4 linked regions of the Sus scrofa genome follow. The protein of the gene in region 1 interacts with the protein of each later gene in a pairwise test. Links are inferred from orthologs where the notes say so. Each region holds a gene or a part of one and is shown on either strand. Other genes may lie near its edges.

Region 1 (4,290 bases):
CCCTACTTCTCCCTGGAGGAGAGAACCACCCCCAGACGGTCCCACGGCAAGCCTACAGACCCCGCTCGCCACCGTGCCTCTCCCAGGAACCCCCAAACCGAACAAGCCCTTTTGCCTTTCCAGGACCCCCCAGAGCACCATCCAGTAGAGTCCCCCAATACCTCAGCCAGGCCTACCATCTCTCCAGTCTCTCTGCCCCCGTCTCTAGCTCAGCCCACAGCAGGGGAGGGGAGGGAAGGCAGAACCCGGGCAGACACCGGTAAGGACAGAGGAGGGCTGGAAATGGAGTTAAGGAAGTAGCCGCAGTGTTCGGGGGAGGCCAGATGGGGGCCACAAACCTGGAGGGAGTTTGGGCTAAGTGTTTCGGGGGCACAGGGTAAACTGGTTTGAAGCAAGAGGGCTCAGAGTTGGGCCAGTAGGAAGGGCCTGATGTGTGATGAGGTATGTTTATGTGGGGAAGGGGCTCACGAAAGGATATTTACTTCTTCAAGAGGCGGCTGGAGGCTCATCCCATTAGCCAAGGTGGCTACAAAATTCTAGGAGAGAGTAACAGGGAGAAAGGATTAGCTACTGGGAGAGACTAGGGGAGGGCCAGGCCAGGGGACCCGGGCTCTTGGAGAAGGGGGTGTTTCCTACAATTTGGCTTTGCTTTGTGGGGAGTGTGGGAGAGGGAGTGAGCAAAGAGGGAACACTGTTCTTGAAAGGGGTGGGAGAGACAGAGGAAGAGAGGAGGGGGTTCTGTCCCTGCTGAGGCTGGAGAGATGGTGGCCTGCCCCCACGCAGCCCCTCTCGGTCGGGCAAGGCACCTGACCGTGCGCACCTCCCCCATCCAGGCCAGAGGAACTGGCACCCACTGGGCACACAGGCACTGCCAGCTGTCACTCCCCCTCATCATCTAATCCCCCCAGATTAGGTGACACTTCCTGACACACACCCGCATCCTGGGTGCCCTAAGTAGCTGGGGGAGGGGGGCTGGCAGGGTGTACCCACTGGGCATCTGCCACCACTGCAAACCAGTCTCTTGTCTGAGAGGATTCCAGAAAGGAGGTGTGGCACAAGGCACCCCCTCGAGAGCTGGCAGCCCGGCCCCTGGCTGCTGCCTTGGACTCAGCCAAGTCCCAAACAAAGCCAGTTAGAGCCAGTCGCCCTGATTATTACCCTCTGCCGGGGGAGGCCAGACCCAGGACCCTCAGCCCATCTGCCCACATTCAAACAACCGCCGCGGCAGGCCCTGAAACTCCCCAGGTGCGGGGCCAAGTCCTGGGGCAACCTCTGGGGAAGCGCTTTCCTCCACCCACACGGGCCCTGGCCCAGGAGAGAGCCGAGGGGGGCAGGAGTCATTGGAGTGACCCCTGGGAGCTCCCCTCCATTCCAGAGAGGGCTACAAGGTACCGGGCCAGAGTACAGAGGCCCCGCCGGATCGCATCTCTTCCAGATGTACCCACCCGTCAGGCTCCGAGAAGCGTGAAACCACAGACAGAAGCCCCCTGGGCTCCAAGCCCCACCTCCATTCTCCCAAACCCGTGAACACGCGGAAAAAGGAGGGCGGCCTGTGCGGGGATTTCCCGCTGGGTCCTACTTCTCAGCACCGACACCTCCGCCAGGCAGGCCCCCGGAGGGCCTGAAACTCAGCACCGGAACCAGCCTCACACGCCTGCACGAGAACCAAACCTCACGGAACACCGTTTAAGGCATCCACGCTCCGGACCCTCACACAGGGCTTCAGGAAGGGGGAGGTTTCACTCCCACCCTCACAAATGCCCTGGGGAGAGAAACGGAGCAACGTTCGCGGCCTCTAGTCCCTCAGATCCCCTTCCCAAGACAGACTCTCTCTCCCCTCGCCTGGAAGGCTCCAGCGGGGAGGTGGGCTTTGGGACACGCCCCATGAAAAAGAGGTCCCTCCCACACAGCAGAAATGGCCACAAGGGGGTGCACGACGCCTTTTCGGGAAGGACCTCCTTCTGCTAGATGCCCCCCCCCAACCAGAGGGAGGTCACAGGGGCATGCTCCACCCCCCCCCGCCAGCTCCCCAAGCCCCGGGCGGGGGAGAATCCATCGACAGGAAACTGGGGTGGGAGGGGGGCCCAGAGGGAACCAATTCGTCTTCCTCCAATCCCAATTCAAGAATGCACGAAACCTGGACCGATGCCTAAGCAGATGCCCCGCTCCCACAAAGGGTTTGTTCAGGGTCAAGATACATCGGCCCTCCCAAGAGACTCTTTACTTGGCGGAGCCCCTAAGTCAGTCCCACCCCGAGATGCTTGTCACGATCCCCGGGGAGGAGGGCAGGGGGCCTCAGAGGGAGGGTCGGAGCCTCCTCCCCGCCCCCCCTCAGGGCGCCCCTCCCCCGACCGGGGGCGGGGCCTTTGTCCCGCACGTGGAGGCCGCCCGGCCGGCGGGCACGGCACACCCCCTCCCCACCCACCGCGCTGCGGCCACGTGGGGACCAGGCCGGAAGCGCCCCCAGCCCTTCTCATCGTGGGAGGGGGCACGAGACCCTCGATTCTAGGGGGTGCCACAGGCGCTCGAAAGCTAGGGAACCCGCACCTCAAACGGCATCCCGGATCCGGAGCATGCGGCGCCCCCTCCGTACGACTAAAGGATTTCAACCCCAATCCGGCGACTCAGAGCCCCTTCCCCACGACGGAGGCATAAAACGCTGACCCTCAAACTGCCCCCCGCCCCCGACGGCGCTCCAGGCGCTCACCTCCATGATGCAGTTCGCGGCCTCGGCTGCCGCCATCTTCACCCGCACCTACTCCTCCTCCGGCCGCCGAGACCCCCCCCTTCTCCGCACTCCCCCGGGACCGCCTTATACCGGAGGGTCCACGGCCCGCCCACCGCGACCCCGCCAGGAGATCTCATTGGTAACGGAGGTGACCCGTCTGGGAATACCGCTTTGCAATTGGGCTAAAAAGACGCCCATCAAAATTGAGGAGACCGCCCAGTCTGGCGTCCAGAACCCCGCCCCTTTAGGTCGACCGGGATGGGAGGGACTGCCTGTCTATCGCAAGAAGTGCGACAGGTGATTGGGCAAAGTCAACAGGGAGTTCCCGCCCCTTTCCCCTCAGCACCGCCTTCAAGCTTCCCGGCGGACCCCGCGCCAAGCGGACATCTTGAAACAGAGCAGTCTATCACAAAAATGACCCGCCTCTTGATGGCTGCTATTGGTTTATCAGCTGTTGTGACGTCACGAAGCTTTTGGCCGGCCTCAAGGAGAACGTGACGATTGGCCCACGAAAAAGGAAGGCAGGGCTTTAGGCTCCAGCGATTGGCTCAATAGAACTGTCAGTCATCGCCCTTTTGATGGCTTCTCCCAGCCGGAGGGGCGGGCACTCAGGAGGAACGAAGGAGCTTGTGCCCATTTTCCTGAAGGAAAACTGACCCAACGAGAGGCCCAAAGAGAGGGAGTTCATGTCTGGGGTCCCGAAACAAATCAGGAATGGGGCTCGGGCGTCAAGGTATTTAACCCCTGGCCCGCTACTTAATTGTTCCATGTTTTTTAAACCCAGTGACCCCACTCAAGCCACTTTGCTTTTTGCCAAGTCCACCCCTGCAGGTAACACACGCCCCCTTTTTCTGTCCAACTCCTTTGTCAGTCAGGGCGCCCTTTAGCTGCCACCTCCTCCAGGGAGCCTTCCTAAACCTGCAGGAAAATTACGTACTGAATGAAGATGAGTGCCACTGGCAGAATATATGCATCACCCCAGAAAGTTCTTTCATGACCTTTTCTATTCAACATCTCCCCACCCAACCCCAGAAACCATCACTTTCTGTGTTGTCACCGTCACGCATCTTTTCCATGTCTAAAATTTCGTAAAAATGATAAAAACATTTTTGTAAAAATGTAATTACAGTATGTACACAAGTGTTTGTCTTCTTTTACTGAGCATAATGCTGTTGAGAATCATTCATGTCACACCTAGCAGTTGTCCAGTCCTTTTCATGGCTGAGGAGTAGTCCATTGAATCCATGGGTTACATTTTCCTCTTGATGGGTATGTGGGTATGTGGGTGGTTTCCAGGATAGGGCTGTTAGGAATAGAGTGGCTGTGAACCATCATGACCAAGGCTTTCTCTGGATCTATGTTTTCCCTTTTCCTGGGTAAACTGAGAACACAGCTGGGTCATATGCTAGGTGTATCTTTCTAAGAAACTGCCAAAGTTCCCCTCTGTATTGTAGCATGTTGCATTCCCATCCGTGACCCATGAACGTTCTGTGGGCTCCACATCCCCTCCAGCACTTCAAAAAATCAACCTGTAATTTTAAGAGTCTTGTAGGTATAAACCG
Region 2 (4,034 bases), about 27 Mb from region 1:
TATCTGAAGCTAATAAAGTTTAAGCTTCAAAGTCCCTTTACCATGCTCTTCCAAGACACTTCTAAATTTGTACTCATCATTTAAGATATTTTTAAGGATCCCATCATTTGTATAAGTCTCACACCCCTCAACACAAAAGTTGGATCCACCGTGATGTTTAGCTCAGTACTGGGCACATAGGTTTTGAGTAAATAATTTTTGGTTGATAGCTTCTGGAAAATCTAATGGTCCTCGAAGTGTATATGGAAGTCTTGCGGAACACTGCTTGACTTCCTCCACTCCGGCGCGGAGGGGAAGGGTGGGGTGTTGGAAGTTGAGGTAGGGAAGGAAGGGATGTGGGATTAGAGGTTTGGATTAAGGCGAGGACGAGGAACAAACCAGTAGGTGTGGAGGGTGAGAAATGTTTCAGAATAACGGAAATTAGTCTCCTTTGGGAATTAGCTCTTTTCCTGGCACGGCTCTTTGGGGTTCGTGATGTATACGTCTGTCCTGCTTTCTGAATATTAATTAGCGTCAAACCCCGCGAAGAAAGGTCCCTGCTCTGTCATTTGTACTTAACTGCTTCTGAGTAATGCCCACTTTAGCGATTTCTCCCACATTCTGATCTGCTCCCAAGGATGTGTGGAAGGCAGCCGAGGAAGCCGTTTTCTGAGCGTTCCAAGGGATGATTTTCTACACGAAAAGATTCTCGGAAAAAAACGGGCGAGCCAAATCCTTAGATCGTGCTCTAATTAAAGTCCCAAAGACGACCTAGAGGAAGGCCGGACCGCGTGGCGGTGGGCGTGTCTGGGGCGAACGCCCGCGGCGGCCGCGGCGGCGGCACGCGGGGGAATCACCAGCGCTGCGGCAGCGGCGAAGCGGCGGGAAGGCCGCGGCCCGCCAGGGCCGGCGCGGACGGCAGGGGGCGGGATTCCGGAGGCGGCCACGCGGCGCGAGGCCTACTTTTTCGGCTTCGCGTCTGCAGCAGACGAGGAGGGCGGGGCCTCGGCCACCCTGGGCCCGGTGCCCCGCAGCCTCGCCTCCACCCGGGGCTTCACGATAGACCCCTTTGTGTTCCTACCCCCGCCCCGGAGGCGCCCCAGCCGGCGGCGCTGAGTTCCCTCATTGGCTCAGCCTACGGCTTCATCGATTGGCTCCCGAGCGTCCGGAGTAGTGAGCCTCTTCTCACTACTATTGGTCCTCTGAGCTGTCCCTTAGGCTGCCGCGCGAGGTGATTGCCCGGCCGCTCCGAGTCCCTGGAAGCAGTTCCGGGAAACCCCGCGTGCTGCCGGGATCGCGTCTCGGTCCATGAGGGGGGGAGGGGGTGGCGCGCGCGCCATTTCTAGTCGTTTTCAAAGCGCCTCGCGCTGATTCTCACGGGCCCGGCCGCCGGCCCCAGATCTGTCCTGGTGAGTCTCGCGCCGGCCCGCGGGGGGAGGGGCCGGGAGCCCCGATCCGACCCTAGTGGGCCTGGCCGGGGCTCCGCACCGCGTCCCGTTTGGTTTTCTCCGAGGCCCCGGGGTGGGGGTGGGGATGGGCTGGGGGCGGCTTTGGCCTCTCCCGCCGCACCGCTGAGGGCCTAGCCCCGCTGAGGCGCCTCCTCACCCTCGCTCATCCTCCCCCCGCCCCTCCAACCCCTAGCCCTCGGTCCGGCCCACCGGGCGCCCTTCGCGCGGCCTGCCGGGTCGGTCGCGCTTTTCCCGCCTCCGCCTGTCGCTCCTCGCGGCCGGGTTGGGCCGGGCCGGACCAGCGGCCTGAGGCGTCCACGGCACCATCGCCTTTCCCCGTCGGAGCCTCCAAGCTCCTGTCTCAGTCGGCCTAGCTATGAGTGGGATGTGTTGATGCTTGGGACAGGCATGAGTGGGGGTGGGTGGGCAGAGGGCGGGATGCAAACCCCGAGTGACCTGAGCCGGGAGAAAACTTTTGTGCGAAGCAGAGGCCGAAAGGCGGGTATGTGTAGAAAGCCTCCTTCCCCTCCCCCATTCTGCATGCTGCGAGTCGAGATTTGAAGGAAAAAATGACTATTAGAGGCCATGAAACTTAGGCTTCGAGCGGCGTCTGAGATACATAATTCCAGGAATGTCACAGGCGCACTAAATTGGAAAGGCGATTCTTTTTTTTCTATGGTAGAAGCCGTATTGCCAGAATTTAAAACTTGAAGCCCTGGGGTTCTTGAAGGGTTCAGTCCTTTTACGCTACCTGTTTGAGATTTTTGCTGTCCTCTGGAGGCTGAATTTATGTCTCATGAGTCAGTCGTAGGATAAGGGCTTGACACTCCTAAGCCGAGTTAACCGTTAGTTTTCATTTCGTTGGTTCTTTAAAAGCCAGTCTCTTAAATGTGAAGAGTTTTCACGAGATGTTCAGAAAAAGTCAGGGAGAGGCTAGTGTCAGACTTCCCCAATGTCCCAGCAGCCCTTATTTAAATTTCTACTTTTTGCAAAACAGTGTAGATCAAATGACTTTAGTCACATTAGTATATTTGCTGCATCCAGAAATATGGTTTGGCTGTGTGGCATTGTATTGACACAAAACAAGAGTTTTAAATGGTCTCATAATGACATAAAAATCTTTTTAAAAATGAGCACATTGTATTTGGCTTGGAGAGAGGTTTTCCTTGACATGAAAGGTTTTATTTTCTGGACTCTAATAGCTGTACTTTTTTTTTTTTTTTTTTTTTTTTTTTTTAAGGTTACAGACTTTTTGAAATTTTCAACCAGTTTCAGAATCACCTTGTAGAGAGCCTTTGCAGTGAATGGTAGACATAAATATTTGTCTTGCGATTAATACACAACTTGTCTTTTTGCTTTACACATACTTAAAAGAAAAAATACCACCTTAACAGATGTTTATTGAACTTTTCTGTTAAAAATTTGCTTTCTTTCCGTGACTAATAGAATTCTCAGATGCAATACTGCAAGGGTTTGTGTTACCGAGAACTTTTGAGTTCTGATGATCTTATGCTCGTATGGGGGGGGAACAACTGTATGTTCATAAAGAGATTTTGGACTTTAGGATGCATCTTTGTAGAAGTAGGTTGTATTAATCAGTAAACGATTTATCTTACACTGTAAGTAGCTTCTTGATCAAAAGTGTGCCAGTTTTGAATGTTTTTGCCAGTCCATCAGAATTTGGGGCTTGTCTTGAGAGACATTTATCTACCCAGAATTTAACCGTGGAGTCTGCATCTGTATAGACATTATTGGGTTACTAAGTCTTAATGATGTTTTGTAATCATAATAAGTCATGATATTTATCTCATTTTCAGAGGGACCCTTTCTGCATTTTCCTCTCTTCCTACTCAGTCTCTTCTTCCCTTTTTCATTAACTTCAACTAAATATCAGTGGACTTTGAAATGAAGTTGTTTTAATTAAGAAGAATGCACTTGGTGTGCATTTGCATAGTGTTTTGATAAGCAGTCTGGAAGTGTGGTTACCTTATGTATGAGTTTTACTGCTTTTCAGGAAACTTGTATTTTCTTTATAGCTGGTATTTTGAGTTTCATCAAGTAGGCTTTTCCTTTGAGATCCACCTTCATGTCCTTAATTTCAGTATTTGTTGCAGTGTCTTTATTCTGCTTATTCATCACATTATAATTTCACCACGGACAAATGCACTTTAATTCCCTTTTGAGGAGGCAGTATAGAGACTGGCCTTGTTTTGGTTTTATTATTTAATCTCTCTGTCAGGGTGTTGGTCCATTTCAGCATTACATACAGGTTGAACACCCAGAATGATTTGGGTAGGTTAATCTGAGACATCTGACCTAAGTTTATTCTCATTAGGTAATGTTTGTTGAAACTATGTGGAAGACATTAGTTGTCTGTTCTCAAATACGTTTTTCAGTTTTATTTTACTGATACAAAAAATTCAGTATATACTCATGACTTTTTTTTTTTAAAGAAGCAGCCTTAACTCTAGCTCACTTTTTATTTTATGTGGACTTAAAACAATCATTTAGCTTTTAAACCTGGTCATTTTTTCTTTTAAATCTGTGAATGGGAGTAGCAAACTAATTTTAGAACAAAAATTAATGTCAAGTTGTGTTTTTTGTTTT
Region 3 (4,279 bases), on another chromosome or scaffold:
TCCGTCTTAGCCCCCTCCCTCTTGGGCGCCAGGTTCCCCTCCCCACCGCAGCTTTTAGCCCAAATCTTACCTTGCAGGGGGACTGGGGAGGGGATGCCCCGCCCTCTCCGGCCTGGGGGGCGGGAGGGGACAGGGGTGTCCAGACCCTTTGTTGTTTGCTGGTGTGTGTGTGTGTGTGTGTGTGTGTGTGTGTGTGCGCGCGCGCGCACGCGCGATTGTCAGACCTGAGGTGTGGGTCCGTGCGCGCGCGAGCCCAGGCCGTGACGGCTGCTGAGATGCTGGACTGCCGGGGCTGGAGAGGGAGGAGGAGGAGAGGGGGACTCCCCCGCCCCCGCCCGCCTCCTTGCCGGTTTGAATGAAGCGTGAGGGGGAGGGGAGGCAGCGGGCAGGAGCTTTGTCAGGACGTGTCCCCTCCCCTTCCCCCGACTGGGGAATCCCCTCCCATCCCCCCTGCGCCCCCATTTAGAGACCTTTACTCCTTTCTCTCCAGCCTTTTCCCTCCAAACGCCCACTCTGGGGGAGTCTGGAAGAGGCGCCCTTCACGCAAGTGGTTGAAGCTTCTCCCATCCCCCACGCCATCGGAGCATCCTTTAATCTGAGATAATCCCGGCCCTAGGCTGCAACGCGGCCTTTTATCCTGGTATCAAAGCGTGGGTAGGGATATATGAAAGTGTGTGGCTGGGGTCGCTCAAGCTCAATGTAAGAGTCCTTAGAGCCCAGGACCAGAAAAGGGGCCCCAGACGAAAGGGGAAGGCCTGCTAGCGGTCCTAGAGCACTACCACCGGGAAAGATTCCCCACTTGGTGTGAGGCCAGAAGCACTGGCCGCTAGTTAGACATTGGTGCCACCCAGCGGCCGCACGGGGAGACGCTGTGGATCGGCTCCCGAGACTAGTTAAATGAAGTCTGGGTGATTCCGAAGGGGGGCGCGCGAATCCCCGTTCAGGAGTGGCAGAAGCGAGGAGGAGGCTGTGGTTCGAGCCGGGGAAACACCAGGCCCCAAGGCAGAGCCACAGCACTCCCATCACCTCCAACCCCTCAAGGGCAGGGCCATATCCTTCCTTCACTTAGACCCTCCCAGGACAGGGTCCTGTACCCCTCGGACTGGGAAGGTCCTTCCATATCAGACAACCTCCCCAACACAGCTAAATCCCCCTTCACAAGGAACCCAGCAGTGGGCTAGGGCTGACGTCACTGCAGCGTGGCTAAGAGGACAATCCTCTCCCTCAGGCTCGCCAACTGCTCACTTACGGCCGCCGTAAAGGCCCACTATGCGGCGGCAGGAGATTAGCGGGGCTCGAGGTTGGAGAACCCACTCATATACCCCCCAGGAAGTGCCCGAAGCAGGATGGGATGAGGTTTGAGGGAGAATCCCAGGAGTTGGGACACGTGCGCAGGGCTCTTTAAGAACTCGGTCGCCAGGGCCGCTGCCAGGGTTACTAAGGATGTGACGTCACGTGCGGGCGGGGGCGTGCGCGCCCAGACGGAAGCGGAAGGGGCGGGGCTCGGCGGTCCGAGTCTCCGTGCTGCCGCTACCGCCGCCAGAGTCGGAGCTGGCTGGGCCGCCAAGGCAAGATGGTGGACTACAGCGTGTGGGATCACATCGAGGTGTCTGACGATGAAGACGAGACGCACCCCAATATCGACACTGCCAGCCTCTTCCGCTGGAGGCACCAGGTAGAGCGCGCGCGGCCAGCCCCTTCCCCCACTCCCGGGTCTCTGCTTCAGAGTTCTGACTTCAGATACTGCTAGGAACCCGGCCATGGACACCTGAGATTCCCACCCTACAGTCTGGACTTTCAGTAGCGCCCAGGGTTCTTCGATTCAACTCCGGGATCCCAGAACTTCCGGGACCCTTGAGTCCCTTGCCTGCTATCCGAGCCTCCCCCTGCCGATTTCTTCTTGGAACTCCCAGTTCACCCCTAGGGCACCTTCTTCAGAGTTTAACTACCAAGACAAGCTTTGGGCTTCCCCCCCAGTTCCGTTTGGGACCTTCCATTTACGCTCCGAATCTTACCTCAGAATCTTGACCCTGATCCTATTCAAGTACCCCCTTGTGATCTTGGACATCCCATGGGCCCCTCCCAATCCCTAGAGTTCCCAGTACTTTAAGTTGTAAGTCTGTTCTTCGATCGGCCTTTCTGGGTCCCAGTGGTGATTCCCGTTTAGATCCAGAAATCCTCTAAATACAACAAGGAATTCTGTCCTTCCTTGAGATTTCTGTTCCTGGCGTGGGACTCCAGCCCACACCCAGGACCCCTTTCCTGGAACTTAAACCAGTGCCCATCAGTATCCTTAGTCCCATCTAGGACTGGCATTTTGAAACCTAGTTCCCTTTCAGATTGAACCACCAGCTCTACCCTTGATGGAGCTTCCAATTCCGGCCACTCTCCTTCAGCCTCACATACTGTAGACCCAGTTTCCCATTATGTCAGGAAATCCTACCCACGTGGCTTCCCCCCAGCTAGAGCCCCTGCCCCTGCTTGGTACTGCAGACCCAGTCACCAAACTCTCCCCCCCACCCAAGACAGGCTTCCTGTAGGAGTCAGCTTTGGAAAGCCTCATTCAAATGCAAGTCCAGGACCCAAACCCACCCCTTCTTCCTTCTGACCCTAGCATGGACTGCTGATCTCAGACACCCAGAGTGACCCTGCTTTTACCAGAAACCCTCCCAGTCTGATTCCAGATTCATTGCCCTACTTTTACTTATTCCCCAAATCCAGACTCCAGGATCCCAAAGTCTGTTCTCTTGCCCTTCTCCCACCCAGCAGTGTTCACAGGCCAGCAAAATAGCCCTCCTAAGATGTAATGTTCTAGCCTCCTGCTCCCCAAAATCAGAGCTCCGGCACCCACATTCCTGTGCCTATGAGACTTTGAAACTCAGGGCATATACCTCTCAGAACCTTCCAGTTAGGAATTCCTCACCCCATTTTTCCGTGTATCAGCTCCCAGTCCTTTTTCTAGAAACTCCTAGAAGGGCTCTTCCCCTTCCTGCCAAGACACAGCATGAGTCCCTACATCTGCTACCCAGTGCTAGTTCCAACCCATTCCTTAAAGCAGCAGTCTCCTGGGTAGTGTCCCTGCTGGGCAAGCCGCTGGAGTGTAAGAAGAAAGTTCTAGCACTTCTCTCTTTCTTGCCATGTGTAACATTTTATCATGAAATATTTAAGATCTCTGCAAAGCTCTGAAGACTATCCTCAGGAACATGGATTACTGTCACATAGTCAATCTATGCCACTGTGTGGTGGATGTTCTGGTCCTGCTGGGCGGCAGGCTAGTGCCCCCTCTCCTACCTCGTCTTCCTCTCACCACGCCCTTCTCCCTCCTGGCCAAAACTCTTTCCTGGCCTGCTACTGAGAGTTCCTGGGCAGCGGTGGAGAGGGTCGGAGGTAGAGAGCCTGGTGTCTCCAGCAGCACCAAGTTCAGTGGCAGGCAAGCCTAGGTTCTTATCCCAGCCCTGCCACAGGACACTGGTGCTTTACTCTAGGGGGAGCAAGACCCCCACCTCCACGAGTCAATCATAGGAAGTGAGTAAGCATTCCAGAGGGAAAGAGGGGATTCTAGAACAAATAGCCTGGAGTGCTTCTGAGCGCAGGCCTGCCCACCTGGGTTCAGATCCTGGCTCCTTCAGAATCACAGACTTACTGCCTGGCAAGTTGTTTTTTCTTTTTCTTTTCTTTTTTTTTTTTCATTTTTGGCCACCCCATGGCATGTGACGTTCCCAGGCCAGAGATCAGATTTGAGTCGCAGTCGTGACCAAAGCTGCAGCTGTGGCACTGGCAGATCCTTGACCCACTGTGCCAGGTCGGGGATTGAACCAGAGTCACAGTGCTCCCAAGATGCCACCTGTCTCGTGCCACAGTGGGAGCCCTCCCAGTGAGTTTGGATTGCTCTGTGCCTTCATTTCCCCAGCAGGGAATCTTCACAGTATCTACCCCATAGGGTTGTTGTGAGGATCACCTTTTGTATTTAATGTGTGTTAACACTCTCAGGACAGCACACGGATGGAATAAGTTCTGTGGAGACTTTAGTTTTTGTCATCGTTTAGGTCATTCACACTCATGGTAAAAAAAAAAAGAACCTCAAGATTCCAGAGGGGACAGGTGAGTCCTCCCAGCTCCAGCTCCCTGCCTCCCTGGCTCCCTTGCCCAGAGACAAATAAGTACTGGTTTCTTGTGGCCCCTTCCAGTGAGCTTATGTGGCATCAAGGTTCTGGGAGCCTCGGTTCCCTTATGTATAAGGCAAGGTGTCAGTGACACCTGTGGCCCCTTCTCACTGCTG
Region 4 (3,959 bases), on another chromosome or scaffold:
GGCCGGCTCACCATCTTTTTTTTCTCCTCCTTAATGGAGTTCTGGTTAACCCTCTCTTAGGCCTAATCGTTTTAGCAAGTTCACGCCTTCCTATTTTTTCCTAGTTCAGCAAGTAGGGCTTAACTAAACAAATATCTGAGCAAATTTTATCTTTATTTTCTTGTTTTTATAAAGAGCAACAGAACTCTAAGGCTCAAACAGTTCAGTGGATTAGGAAAAAAAGGAAACAACCTTCTGTTTTGTGCAAAAAAGATGTAAAATGCATTATATAGGTTTCTTTTCTTTTACTAAACTTGTTATAATTACATTTATATTCAATAGCAGCCTTTCTTATCAGTTTTAAGCTGGTCAGTAAGGTCTCCACTTTTCTCTGACTCCTCAAGTTACTGAAACAGCAACCACAAAAGGCTTACTAACCTTTATTTATTTTGCAATTAAACTTTGACAAAGACATGCCCCAACCCTCCGCAAGGGTGGAAGGGAAACGGCTCCGAGGCGTTGGCTGCATGTTTGTGAGAACTGGGTTCCGAAAGCTGCAGGATGCCCCGCGAGAGCCGGTTCCCTCCACTTTTCCCCGCACTCCCAGCTTCCTCAGCACGGGTACCCGCATCCCGCTGCTCTGTATGCTCTTCCTTCCTGTGGAGCCAGGCACGTAGACTCAGCGTGGTGACGGGTTGTAAACACCGAGTACGCGAGCCGGCAGGTGCCTTGAGGCCAGATCCGTGCCGCAGGCGCGCGTGTAGACAGCCTGAGCGGGGCTGCTTTTATCTGCACAGCTCTGTCTCCTCGAGGCGAGCCCAGGCAGCGAACGCTTGCAGAGGATGCGCTGGCGCAGCTCCAGGAGTTGTTGGAGCAGGAAGGAGGAGTTAGGGCTAGGGGCGGGGCTTTCACACGCGCACCCTCTGTTTCCTCCATCCCGTTTTCCCCCCCGCTGGGCCGCCACTCGGGGGTTTATTTGTTTACAAGCGGATTACGTCAGCTCCTCCCTCTCCTCCCGGTCTCTGGGCACGCCCCCTGGCCCCTTTTCCCGCCCCCTTCGGCTCAGAATCTGCTTGCATCACAATGGTGCGATCTCCGGATTGGCTGGAGTCGTCCGTCACGCTCCAGCTACGCCACTTCCTTTTCTCTGCGCTATAAAAAGTGCCGCACGGCCGCTGCATCTCTTTGCCCGTCTGAGCTGGAAATGCAAGTGTTTGGAGCTTCGGAGGCTGCGGAGCTGGAGGCGGAGGCGGCCGGGGCGGTCCGAGCGATGTGACCAGGCCGCCGTCGCTCGTCTCTTCCTTTCTCCTGCCGCCTCCTGTCTCGAAAATAACTTTTTACTATAAAGAAGGGAGGAGAAAAAAGTAGCCGTCCACCGCTCACGCTCTCTCCCCCTCTCAGCCCACTGACCTGTGAGGGAGCCCGGGGTGGCCGCTCCGCCGTCGGGGCCGCACCGCCGAGCCCCGGCCGCCCCGGGCCGCCCCCGCCTGCCGCCCCCATGCATCCCTTCTACACCCGGGCCGCCACCATGATAGGCGAGATCGCCGCCGCCGTGTCCTTCATCTCCAAGTTTCTCCGCACCAAGGGGCTCACGAGCGAGCGACAGCTGCAGACCTTCAGCCAGAGCCTGCAGGAGCTGCTGGCAGGTGAGCGGGCGGCGGCAGGGCGGGGGGCGCCGAGGGACGCGGTGGCACATCTCTGGGCCGGGCCGTCGGGGACGCGGGAGTCTTGGCGGCACTGTGGGCAGGTCGCGCTCGGTTCCGGCAGCGGGACCGTGACTGGCGCGCCCGGCTGCCGCTAACGGCGGGTCCGGGACAGGGTTTGGGGGTGGGCCAAGGGCGCCCCCTCCCCCCACGGCTGGCAGACCAAGGGGACAGGAAAACAGACGCACAACAAAGAAACTGAAGCCGACCGAGGCGGGAGCCGCCGTCCTCGGACGGTCCGCGCATTTGGGGGACAAAGGAGCCGCCGGGCTAGGGTGGATTCGACGCCCCCTCCCCCCCATCCCGTCTAACCGTTGCGGGCCCGACGGCCGGGCCACGGGATGGGAAGGCGCGCCGCTGCCAGGGAGCCAGCCCGGGCCGGACGTGCAGTCTCTCCGCGCCTCCTACCCCTGTCCATTAATCATCGGATTTGTCACCGGTACAATTACTGCCCTGCCCAGAGCGTGGTTTAGGATGGCTTGTTCCATTCCCTTCGGGGCGAACAGTCCAGTGGCGCTCCTCTTCGAAGCCATAAACCCCATTGTGTGTGCGGCTGGGGTGGGGTGGAGAAAGTAAACAGGTTCCCGCCTGGCCACCGGTGCCACCCCGCTGCCCGGCTGGCGGAGGCTGCCCGCCGGATTGCCGTTTTGGCAACTCAACCGGTTGGTTCCCGGAGATTGTTCTGTACGGTGTACTACTGTTATTTCTCAAACCCTGCCCGCTCATTCCCCATCGCCTTACATGGACAGCCGCGGATTCAATGCTGGGTTTTTTTTTTTGTTTTTTTTTTTAAAGAAAGTTGCTAGTTTGCATTTTCCCTCAACGAAGCCAGCCGAAGAAAGAAACTACAGCGGGAGCCAGCAGTAACGATATCTAAGCGCTGTTTCTGTTTTTTTTCTTCTATAGAACATTATAAACACCACTGGTTCCCAGAAAAGCCGTGCAAAGGATCAGGTTACCGTTGTATTCGCATCAACCATAAAATGGATCCTCTGATTGGACAGGCAGCACAGCGGATTGGACTGAGCAGTCAGGAGCTGTTCAGGCTTCTCCCAAGTGAACTCACTCTCTGGGTTGACCCTTACGAAGTGTCCTACAGAATTGGAGAGGATGGTTCCATCTGTGTGCTGTACGAAGCCTCACCAGCAGGAGGTAGCACCCAAAACAGCACCAACGTGCAAATGGTAGACAGCAGAATCAGCTGTAAGGAGGAACTTCTCTTGGGCAGAACAAGCCCTTCCAAAAGCTACAATATGATGACTGTATCAGGTTAAGATATAGTCTATGGATGGATCCTCTTATAATGGATGGATAAATTTGATTTTTGCTTTGGGTGGGCTCCTCTTGGGGATGGATTATGGAATTTAAACCATGTCACAGCTGTGAAGATCTGGCACAAGATAGAGTGGTAAAAAAATTTTTTTAAGTGACAGTGCCATAGTTTGGACAGTACCTTTCAATGACTTAATAGCCTGTGAGTCCAAGTAAATTGATCACCTTATTTGCTAGGGAGTGAAGTCCTGGGGTGGTTTCATTTTCTCCCGGACATGATACCTAAATTTTTACATCAGTCCCTTTAACACAAATCCATATTTCAAAGAACCTTTCTCTGCGGTAGAACTTGGCAGAGGAAATTTGCACTATTACACTTAAATTGTTATCCTTTTTGGCAGCTCGATAGGAAAGCTCAACATTTTAAACGCGGTAGTACTGGAAATTTTATAACAAGACTTTTACCTAGCACTTAAATATGTATAAATGTACATAAGACAAAACTAGTAAGCATGACCTGGGGAAATGGTCAGACCTTGTATTGTGTTTTTGGCCTTGAAAGTAGCAAGTGACCAGAATCTGCCATGGCAACAGGCTTTAAAAAAAGACCTTAAAAAGACACTGTCTCAACTGTGGTGTTAGCACCAGCCAGCTCTCTGTACATTTGCTAGCTTGTAGTTTTCTAAGACTGAGTAAACTTCTTATTTTTAGAAAGTGGAGGTCTGGTTTGTAACTTTCCTTGTACTTAATTGGGTAAAAGTCTTTTCCACAAACCACCATCTATTTTGTGAACTTTGTTAGTCATCTTTTATTTGGTAAATTATGAACTGGTGTAAATTTGTACAGTTCATGTATATTGATTGTGGCAAAGTTGTACAGATTTCTATATTTTGGATGAGAAATTTTTCTTCTCTCTATAATAAATTGTTTCTTATCTTGGCATTTTAATCAATCTCTTGTCATGATTATAGAGGTTCAGCTAAAAGAAATCTATTTCTCAGAAGA

Evidence for each region.
Region 2: the proteins of PRMT1 (region 1) and HNRNPR interact in binary tests that used the Homo sapiens proteins (3 or more experiments, as listed by UniProt). The link is inferred for Sus scrofa from reciprocal best matches to the Homo sapiens genes PRMT1 and HNRNPR.
Region 3: the proteins of PRMT1 (region 1) and CDC37 interact in binary tests that used the Homo sapiens proteins (3 or more experiments, as listed by UniProt). The link is inferred for Sus scrofa from reciprocal best matches to the Homo sapiens genes PRMT1 and CDC37.
Region 4: the proteins of PRMT1 (region 1) and BTG1 interact in a two-hybrid assay, tested with the Homo sapiens proteins (2 studies listed by BioGRID). The link is inferred for Sus scrofa from reciprocal best matches to the Homo sapiens genes PRMT1 and BTG1.

The regions. Positions count from the first base shown.
Region 1 is NC_010448.4:54,717,410-54,721,699, reverse strand, and holds the start of PRMT1 (protein arginine N-methyltransferase 1), read right to left. Parts: upstream 2,801-4,290; 5' UTR 2,744-2,800; coding exon 2,708-2,743; intron 1,802-2,707; exon of another isoform or gene 1,446-1,801; intron 537-1,445; coding exon 483-536; exon of another isoform or gene 180-482; coding exon of another isoform or gene 177-179; intron 1-176. UniProt on the Homo sapiens protein: Arginine methyltransferase that methylates (mono and asymmetric dimethylation) the guanidino nitrogens of arginyl residues present in proteins such as ESR1, histone H2, H3 and H4, FMR1, ILF3, HNRNPA1, HNRNPD, NFATC2IP, SUPT5H, TAF15, EWS, HABP4, SERBP1, RBM15, FOXO1, CHTOP, MAP3K5/ASK1, MICU1 and NPRL2.
Region 2 is NC_010448.4:81,236,617-81,240,650, reverse strand, and holds the start of HNRNPR (heterogeneous nuclear ribonucleoprotein R), read left to right. Parts: upstream 1-1,234; 5' UTR 1,235-1,388; intron 1,389-1,504; exon of another isoform or gene 1,505-1,929; intron 1,930-4,034. UniProt on the Homo sapiens protein: Component of ribonucleosomes, which are complexes of at least 20 other different heterogeneous nuclear ribonucleoproteins (hnRNP). hnRNP play an important role in processing of precursor mRNA in the nucleus.
Region 3 is NC_010444.4:69,210,110-69,214,388, reverse strand, and holds the start of CDC37 (hsp90 co-chaperone Cdc37), read left to right. Parts: upstream 1-1,479; 5' UTR 1,480-1,573; coding exon 1,574-1,675; intron 1,676-4,279. UniProt on the Homo sapiens protein: Co-chaperone that binds to numerous kinases and promotes their interaction with the Hsp90 complex, resulting in stabilization and promotion of their activity. Inhibits HSP90AA1 ATPase activity.
Region 4 is NC_010447.5:90,814,035-90,817,993, forward strand, and holds BTG1 (protein BTG1), read left to right. Parts: upstream 1-1,159; 5' UTR 1,160-1,477; coding exon 1,478-1,625; intron 1,626-2,588; coding exon 2,589-2,956; 3' UTR 2,957-3,902; downstream 3,903-3,959. UniProt on the Homo sapiens protein: Anti-proliferative protein.